Arabidopsis thaliana: one gene and its partner. The protein of the gene in region 2 interacts with the protein of the main gene of each other region in a pairwise test. Each region holds a gene or a part of one and is shown on either strand. Other genes may lie near its edges.

Region 1 (4,970 bases), 1.1 Mb from region 2:
TAATGATAATCCATCAGTTTCATAAAAGAGTCGTTTTGACGGTCTTTTGACACGAATTCTAAGATAAACAAATTACAATATTTTGTAATATTTTTGAATTGAAAAAAATTAATAAATAAATAATATATATAATTGGAATATAAAAGTAATGAACAAAATCATAATTTTTGTTTAGAGGACTAAATTAAATTTTGAAGAAGTGTATTCAAATTCACAAAACAAACAAAATTTCTATGGATAGTAATAGAAAAGAAAGAAAAAACACGTACCTGAGGTGCTTGCTGCGACCACGTCAAGAGTAGCATTGCCGAAGTAGCCGCGTGGCAGAGGTGGCTCCATCCGACTACGAGTATCTATACAGATTCCTAGAGCCGTTGGTTGCTCCGGAGAGTGGCCACGTGCTTTACACGCGCACCTCCACACGTGTCCGGTGACGGTCTCGTACCTTGTAAACCCTTTCGCCGGGTCAGAGTGTTTGCTTCCGTTGGCTTTACTTCGTAGCTTCTGCAGCTGAGATGTGCTCAGTGGTAGCATCACCACAATCGTTTTCTTCTTTCTCTCTTCTACATTGTCCGTTTCTCCGATCAAAAACGGTGGCTGATCAAACTCTTTGTGGTCGAACTTTGGGGGCGACACAAACGGTGGGAGCGGTTCACCAGCCCAGAGGATTTTCCGGTCTAGAAATGGAACGGTTTCTAACGGTTCACCGCGCGCGAGTCTTCCCCATTCCGATATTAAGTGAAGCGCGCTTTGGCCATCTACGATCGCGTGGGAAACGTTGACGCTAAGGCTTATTCCACCGCATTTGAATTTGGTTACCTGAGCTAAAAATAGAGGAATCGTTTCGATAGGGTTTTTATAGTTTACTTGCGGCATAAGATTCTCGAATTCCGGCGTAGGAGAGAAGTCTTTGAAATCCGAAAGCTTCCCCTCAGATTCCGCTTCAATGAATTCCACTCCCTCGGCGTTACAATTGAGCTCGAACCGTCCCCGAGGGAGCCATCTGAGACGGCCAGCCATAGGGTAAAAATGGACTAGCACACGGCTCAACGAGGTTTTTAGGATTTCGACTACATTGCCTTGGAAAGATTCAGATGGCTTGTCGTAAAAGTAAAGGGTGGGAATGTGAGTAATTGTACCAACTTGATCCCACTCGGCTAAGGGAAACCTACCGCTCCACGTTGGTTCGGCCGGTACTATAGTGTAAGATTTTCTAAAAGTTATGGGAGCCATAACACAAACCCCCTTTCTTTTTCTCTTCTCTTTTTGAAGTTCGTGCTAAAGTAATGTTTATATAGTACACAGAATCATATGGATTCAACGAATTTTTCTTGCTGTTAGTCAAAATTCAAAAATGTTTTTCTCGTGGTTTAGTTTGTTTCCTTCGAAGCAGCTTAATTAGTGGAAGTGAGAATAAGGTTTAGTTTTGTTGGTTGTATATGATCACGCGTATTACCCTTCTTCTCTATTTTGTTCACATTGTGGATGAATATATATTTCCACGAAAAAATGAAAAAAAACGAGGTAAGAACATATAACATAAAATTCATATCACTATTAGGGAATGTGTTATACTTTTTTATGCAAGTATATTCCAAAGTATAAATTCTAAACTAAATCCTTAAGTATATATCATAAACTCTAAAAAGAAATGGTAAATCCAAAATACTAACTTCATAGCATTAAATTCAAAAGCCCACATCGCCAGTTTTGATTATATCTTCTGAATTTAAGTTGAGTTTATTTTTATAAAGTCATCTTGAAGAAAAAAAATGTGGATGATGTATTTTACACTGTTACACAGTAATTTTAGTTTTTACAAACTAACAAAAAGGAGAAAACAATTCCACTTTCTCCGAGTCTCCTCCTCCAGTAGTTTTGTCTTAATGGGTAATTTGTGGGCCTTTTAAAGCCCAAAATGAGTTATCGTATTAATAAACCCTAGTTTTAAACCCGACCGACTAAACCTTAACCCAGACCCGGACTCGACTGGATCTTCTCTTCTCGCCCCATCTCTCTCTATCGACGATCGAACTTACTTGAGTACTTCTTCTTCTTTTGACCAGAGCTCTCACACATACGAGTCACTATAATGGAAGGCGATCAAGAGACGAATGTTTATACTTTGGTGGCAAGGAAGCCTTCCTTCGATCTCCCAACAGCTTGCCCTAATTGTCTTCCTGCTTATATATACCTGAAATTAGCCCAGCTACCTTTTGAACTTGCGTTCAATTCAACCTTCCCTGATTCAGGTTTGCTTCTGTTTTGATTCCTCGCTTCGTATTTTGGTTGTTGTTAGATTAAGGTTTTGGTTGCGTGATGTGTATCTGTTGGAAGTGAACATTGTTAATTCTATTAGCTTGAATTGAGATTCGAATCCTAGACAAGATAATTTTGAGTTCTGGATTCGAATTCGTACTATTAAGATCCTGCTCTTAGGTTAATCAGAGTTTAGATAGGGTTTTTAGGCAATAGTAATTCAATTTTGAGGTGTATATATGCATTGGTGAATTTTTCTGGATAGGAAGTGTTCATCATAATTTCTTGTTATAGCTTTGGTTGAATTCCTCGTTATCGTAATTGTTAATTCGAAGAGAATGATGATGTTTCATACTTGTTCAGAAGAAATTAGTTGTTTGATTTAGCTATTGAGTTTGTATATTAACAATATCTTCAGAATTTCTATGTTATGTTTGATAATATCTCTAGACACTTCGTAATCCTTTGTTCACGGATTTACAAATTTGTGCATTCAATATTTATAAGCTTGTGTATTGACAATGTTAATCATTTGTTTTTAATATAGATGAACTGCCGTACTTTGAAAGTGATACATATGTTGCATATAACAATGAAGATGGAGGAGTAATTGAAAAACTGAAGAAAGATGGGATTGTTAATCTGGACTCTCAGCTACAGTCTCTTTCGGATTATTTATCTTTGAAGGCTCTTATTGTGTCTTGGCTAGAAGAAGCGCTTACCTATGAGATATGGGTTGGTACCGAGGGGATATCTACATCGAAAATCTACTATTCAGATCTTCCTTGGGTGATCAGCAAGGTCCTGTTTTATAAGCAGACATACTTGGCAAAGAACCGTTTAGGAATCACCAAAGAGAACGCAGAGCAAAGAGAAAAACAGGTCGGGTTTGTTTAAGTTTTGTTGTTACTTTAGAAGACCTGTGGTTTATATTTGTGAGCATTTGAACTAGTTATTAAAGTTCATAGTCTTAAATGTGAACAGATATACAAGAGAGCAAGTGAGGCATATGAAGCTTTGTCGACTAGGTTAGGTGAGCAGAAGTTTCTCTTTGAAGACAGGTATTGCAATCACATTCCGGAACTGGATTCTTTCCCTTAAGCCTTTTTGTAAAAGATTGACAATGTTTATATTATTCTCTTCCCACAGGCCATCGAGTTTGGATGCTTTCTTACTCTCGCACATACTTTTTATAATCCAAGCGTTACCAGTGAGCAGCTTTAAATTTCACCAATATATTTCTCAGTTATGGGTTTATCAGGTTGAATTTAGCCTTAGAACTATTTAGATGAAGTAGTTTTCTTAATGGTGCATGATCAGGTTACATCAGTGCTTCGGTGCAAACTTCTGGAACATAGTAATCTTGTGCGATATGCTGAGAAACTTAAGTCAGAGTTCCTTGAAGCCTCTTCTTCATCTCCTTCACCTCCACTTCACTCATTCCCTTCCTCATTTCCAAGAAAGAGTAAGACACATCTAACCTTCAACGTCCATATCATATATATTTCATCATATTATATATCTGTCATATATGCAACATTCATTGGATATGTTTAAGCCTGTGAAGGAAGTGAATTTCATCTTTTGTTCAGGTTCGAAGCCAAAGAGCAAACCAAAGGTAGAAAAGACCGAAGAGGAGAAAAAATTTAAGAAAAGAGCAAGGTTCTTTCTAGCTGCTCAGTTTCTAGCTGTCGTCATTTACGTATCAGTGATGGGAGGAGGTAGTTCTGATGAACTGGAGTATGAAGATGAAGATGACTAAACTAAAGCTTTTCTTATTAAATGGACCGGTAACTCTCAGGCGAACTCTCTGAGACTAAGATAAAAACATAACCAGTAATCTCTACGCTTTTTTCTTCTTGAACTCTTAGTTATGGAGAGGATACAGATGTGAGATTTAGTCACATTATAATGGTTTTCGACTTTTCGTTCTGAAGGAGAGCTTTTGGCTTTTATATAAATTTCATTGGTTTTTAAGGCACATCATGGGAACCGATTCACCGGATAAAATACCGAGGAACATTAGAAGACTCTTGGTACACATCCTCAGAATCAACTGAACTAACTCTATTTGTCTTACTAAATAATACAAATCTCATCCATCTAAGAAACTATCTTCTGATAGCAAAAGATGATGCCAAAAACCTACCTAATTCTAAACTCTCTAAAACCAAACAAAATTAATAACAAGTACTAGGAATTGAAATTTACATCCGGGGGCTGCTGCTCCGACGCATCGTCTGCTGGTTGGCTAACAAGCTTCGAGTGTTCATCGGCCGAGTTGATGGAAAACTCAGCTAGTGAACTAACTGCAACAGACATTCCATGGCAGAGAACCTTCACAGCAACCTCTGCAAGTTTCTCAGCAGTCATCACAACATCTTCTTCTCCCTTATCAGCCACTACAAGCTCCATGCTTTCTGACCCGGAGTATCTCCTTGACCCGCTTCCACTCCAGTTTGGATCTTCCCTAACTTGCCTTGCATATATTGAACCCATCCCTGAGGCAAAGAACTCAAGTTTGTCCAAAACTGGTTTTTCATTCAAGCTGTTAAGCAACCTTGACCATTGAATGCAGACTCGGTATATCGGGTGAAGACATGAGGATAATCTAACTTTTTCGGGGTCAGGATCACATCTGAAACATCTTAGAAGCCAACCAGATAATGCTTTCATGTAGGATCTCTGAGAGGTGATCCAGAATTCAAAAC
Region 2 (4,891 bases):
TGTTAAGCGAGAGAGAAGACAATTACTTACAGTGTGGAGCATAACTTCTTCCCAAGAGGTGGATTTGAGTGGGCTTACTTCTCCTTTTCCGACGAGAGCAATCAATTTCACCGGAGGCTCAGGCTTCTCTATTTTCGTACTCTTCTCCGTCTCCAAAACGCGAACAACAGTGGTTCGTCCCCGTCTGGAGAACGATGCTTCATCTAAGGAAGGATGAAACTTCCGGATGAAATTAACCGGTTGATGAGTGACGAACCGGTTAAGGAAGGGAGAACACTCTCTCGTTCCAGGAAGAGAAGGAGCTTTGAGAGGAATCGCCGCCATGGCGAAGAAAACAGTTGTTAACGTCTCTCAGACAAACCCATTATAATTGTTCACAGACAAGCCACGTGTTCGATATGATTGGTTTAATTCATCTAGAATGTATGATACTCCAGATCCCATTTCGGTTAGATTTGGTTCGAATTTGGTCTACTAAATACAAAACTATAATAGTTTCTCGGGTTGATTTTGCTTGCCACGCTTTTGTTTCGAATTAACATCACAACTTTTATTAATTATCTCAAATTCCAGTGATCACCATTATCAAAAAAACATGAAACAACGTTTGTGTCTAAGAATCTCAAGCGTAATAACCACAGAGAGAGTTAGACTCAAATCCAGGTGAGAGACCTTATTGAACGCCAAACCAAAACAGCAGCAAGGGAACGATCTTCTCTTTCAAAGACAATCAAGTGAGAGATCTTTGCCTTTTCTTACAACAAATCAAATGTTTCTAAGGATCAAACCTTAGATGAAGTTACGGATGTCTAGAGACTTCACGTCCGGCATTTCCTCATCCTGGAATTCCTCCCTGAATAATCCGCAAGTTCCATCGCGTTATGACATGAGTAAGATCAATGATTGATAAATTGAGAAACAAAAAAAGTGAAAAGAAAACAAAACTCACTTCTTTTTCTGAGATTCCATAGCTTCAACAGCATCACTCTTCAGCTCATCCAACTGTGCTTTGGCCATGCTGAGCTCCAAATTTTCTTCGTACTTAGGAAGATCTTCTTTCCTAATCCCAAGCCTGTTTAGATTAATGAGACGCAAACATGCAATTCAATTAGCTATCAATATGTAAATCGATATACATATAAGTAGTAATGAGAATCATTTGTTCGTGTTTTGTATGGATGGTTGAAGAATGATGACGCACTTTTTGTTGCCTTTCTCAAACTCTGCAACCAAAAGATCCATTCCTTTCTTGTCACTTCTCAGGAGAGGCTTCTTTATGTCCTTCTCGACTTTCTCCAAAGCCTCGAACATCATGGCCTCAGCACCAAGCTCATCAGTAAGCCCCCTCCTGCAAGATATATCACAAGTGGGAGTATAACTAAAGACTGCTTCCAACAATTCTTCATATGTTGCAAACAATAGCAGATCAAAGAGGGAGATGAAAATATAGATAGTTAAATGCAGTCTTCAGATAACTGCTTAACGATCACATTCAAGATCTTACAGGAAGATAATTCCAATATTATAATAACATAAGAAGAGCAAGTTTACGGGTGAGGGAAAACTATCCTAAGATAACTGAAAATTATTCAAAGTCTAACAGCTACCTGGTGCGAATTTCCTGCAACTTCAACAAGTATGCACGAGCATCTGGAATGTCTTGAGTCTCAGTATCAATGTCATGTTTAATGCGCTGAGATTCTGAGAACATGTCTGCCCTGCATACCAAAAAAACGGATGACAAGCAACCAAATTAACAAGGTTAAAATAGCAGCATTGACACATATATTTAACTCGTTTCAGAAAAGTCGAAAAGTAAAACCAATCCCAACAAACAGAAATAGAGATCACGACATACAACATTCAAGCTAAATAACAAACACCTACAAAAGAGTAACAAGAGGCCTACTTTTGCCTGATGGTCTTCATTACATTTGCATACTGTTTTACGGCAGCTGGGTCCTCTGGATCAAGGGTGATCTTTTCCTTACGGAGAATATCAACAGCAGCCTGGAATTTGTTCTTGATATCAAAAAAGACACCCTTCAACATCTCTGTCAAAAAGTGTAAAACTTGAGTCAATAATAGTAAACAGCAATGCTTCTTCACTCTAAACACATAGTACAGATTTCAGCAACATATTAAACATAATCCATCATAAACTGGATACATATAAAACTCAACAAAAGAAGTAAGCAGAACAACAGTCCTAGCAATCATGGCCTGGGTTTCACAAGATTATATTACATTGACCAATATAGTTTTTCTACACATTCGACATAAAAAAAGTGACTTGACATATTCTTAAGTAGTCACGATGTTAAACTCAAAAGCACGAAGGGCTAAAGAAAGGAAAGCAACTGTTTTCAACTAGGTGTGTTATTGAAAACGTAATGTTCTATGCATAATAACAAATCCGAAGTATGAGTTTTGGTCACTAACCATCTCCTTTAAAGGTTGGACGAGCAGCTTCCTTAGCAAAAGCTCGGACTGGAATAGCATGTTGCTGCTGCAAAATGACCAGACCCCCCTGTAGCTGCGTAATGAGAGTAAGATAATAAAAATTATGGATCAATAACAAGTTTTGATGAAAAGAATACTTCTTGCAAATCATCTTATCATTTCGAACTGTATTAGAAATCAACAACGAGTAGAAAAAAACCCCATCAAATTTATCATTTGATTTCAACAAACTCTCCGATTGAGATCGTACGAAAGATAACAAAAATTCGACTACGATATTGAAATGGCACACCCTAAGATGTGATTCAGTGATAGAGATACAGTAAAATCGATAATCTCACTCTAACCATCGCATCGAAACACATAAAACCCAGAAATGGGAGGAAAACAAAAGGAATCAAACAGAACGAAGAAGAGAATCAGAAAAATCGAGGGAGAGAGAGTATATACCTGCTTAGATCTGGAGAGAAAACGAGAAGCGTACGCCATTTCCTTGATCGAATCGAGTCGCTGTGGAGTTGACGAAATTTAGGGTTTGTGGTGTCTTGTTGAGATCCTATCTGAGCGACGGAGCAGAACAAGTAACAGGCAAAGGCAGTAATTGTACACCGTTGATAGTAATCAACGGCTGAGATTTATTCCCAATACGGAATATCTGAAAATAATTTGATTTTATTTTTTACAATTACACTATGAAAATCTTAATTTTTCTATTTTTTTTTTTTAATACCTTTTTTCGATCGGTCAACTTTTCCATAATGGAAGTAACTAAGTGATTACAAGGAGAGTTCTTGATAAGTGTCAGCCAAGACATTGTCATTTCTACTAATAAGTTGAACCTATAGGAAATATTTGCCAAATGAGACAAGGTGAGGGATTACTCCAATGTCTAGTAGCGGTTTCAAGGTATTTATAAATAGTTGATAAATCTCCACAGAATATAACATGATCATCGAGGTCGGTCAAAACTATATGGATACCTAAAGCAAAAATAATTTGGTATATTAACATAAATAGTCAAAAAAAATTATAAGTAATAGATTCAACAATAATTAGAATCAAAACTGTGACTGATCATTGAAAACTGAAAAGGTTCGGACAGACCATTAGACCATTTATCTAAAGCTCTTATTATTACTGTTACCTAAAGCTTTTGTTTCATGGACTTTAGTCACGGACCGGTTTTGATGATCAAATTGCAACCATTTTAGTTGGAGGGTTGCTTCCTTTAAGACTAGAGCCTCTCCTTCTGCGACTGAAAAGGTGGTTCTTTTAACGTTTATCCTTTGAGAGCATACATCTTTTCTCCCATTTTTTGGTTTTCAATATGTTGAATCTATTCAATAGTGTTTAATCCACATATGATTTTTTACTTTTTCAACACTCTCATCGTATGTGTTCAACAGTTGAATAATTTATTCAACACTCTCATTACATATAGTCTTATTATCAAACTCATAGTTTGACATATCTCAGTCATCATAACTCACAACTCAGACATAGCAACCCTCAAACTCATGCTTGCGCATATTTTGGTCGTCGACCTTTAACCCCCCCCCCCCCCCCCCCAATTCCATCACTTATCTTCTCCTTATTCCCATGATCATGCAATATACATTACTAGCCATTTCGTTCCACCATTGCAGTCCATGTACTTTCGCCATTTTTACAGTTTAACAAATCATGTATTACTTTCCCGATTGAATATTTTTCTATAAACATTTGTCCCACTACATATGCCTCCTGATGATCTCCAAGTACTCTCTCTAGAAGAATCACATTCACTCATCTTTCCAAGCTCATCATATGTCTAATTGGGAATTGCTTCCGGACTTGGTACAAAACTGACCATGCTAGCTAGTTCATTAAGAATTTGTCCATGTATAAAGAACTTGATAGGAGGAATCAAGCCCATCAAGACAATACCATGAGTTAAGTTCGGTTTCCAACGTTTAAACCTACTTTTGCTACACCAAAAATTATGCAATCAACTTGTACATAATTGATTATCGGTGGATAAAAATAAGATATACATGTTGCAAAAAAAAAAAAGTAAGATTTTACTCTAAATGGATCAGAGAAACCACATCTTCAAAAGACTTGATAGAAATCCCATACTGAGAATGTTCAGTGAATGTCAATTGATTTTTGAGTCGGAAATTCACATAACGCTTAACAAAATTTACGTTTGAAAATGAGTTGCAACTAAAAGCGAAAGAGCAAAGTTGGTTGTTGTTTTTTGGTTTAAAAACAATGTTCACAAGAGATAACAAGAGTCTCTTTTATGACATCCAATACAAATATTATTGGTTAGAGTCAATAAAAAAGAGCACTAAGGAGAAATACAAAATTGGTTGAGCCTATAAAAGGGAGCATTAAGGAGAAGTAGTTGCGCAGAGGCGGAAAGACTCTACACCAAAATGTGTTT

What was found. The genes of interacting proteins can lie anywhere in the genome.
Region 1: the proteins of MGP1 (region 2) and AT2G19080 interact in a two-hybrid assay, tested with the Arabidopsis thaliana proteins (one study listed by BioGRID).

The regions. Positions count from the first base shown.
Region 1 is NC_003071.7:8,260,726-8,265,695, forward strand, and holds AT2G19080 (metaxin-like protein), read left to right. Parts: upstream 1-1,974; 5' UTR 1,975-2,092; coding exon 2,093-2,252; intron 2,253-2,806; coding exon 2,807-3,141; intron 3,142-3,243; coding exon 3,244-3,320; intron 3,321-3,408; coding exon 3,409-3,469; coding exon of another isoform or gene 3,470-3,547; exon of another isoform or gene 3,548-3,579; coding exon 3,580-3,724; intron 3,725-3,851; coding exon 3,852-4,021; 3' UTR 4,022-4,413; downstream 4,414-4,970. Other genes in the region: SHT (spermidine hydroxycinnamoyl transferase), read right to left, coding at 270-1,233; AT2G19090 (DUF630 family protein (DUF630 and DUF632)), read right to left, coding at 4,453-4,970. UniProt on the Arabidopsis thaliana protein: Involved in transport of proteins into the mitochondrion.
Region 2 is NC_003071.7:9,319,667-9,324,557, forward strand, and holds MGP1 (MALE GAMETOPHYTE DEFECTIVE 1), read right to left. Parts: upstream 3,202-4,891; 5' UTR 2,953-3,201; coding exon 2,914-2,952; intron 2,537-2,913; coding exon 2,443-2,536; intron 2,055-2,442; coding exon 1,910-2,054; intron 1,719-1,909; coding exon 1,608-1,718; intron 1,349-1,607; coding exon 1,202-1,348; intron 1,073-1,201; coding exon 950-1,072; coding exon of another isoform or gene 946-949; intron 854-945; coding exon 790-853; 3' UTR 524-789; downstream 1-523. Other genes in the region: AT2G21860 (violaxanthin de-epoxidase-like protein), read right to left, coding at 31-324. UniProt on the Arabidopsis thaliana protein: Mitochondrial membrane ATP synthase (F(1)F(0) ATP synthase or Complex V) produces ATP from ADP in the presence of a proton gradient across the membrane which is generated by electron transport complexes of the respiratory chain.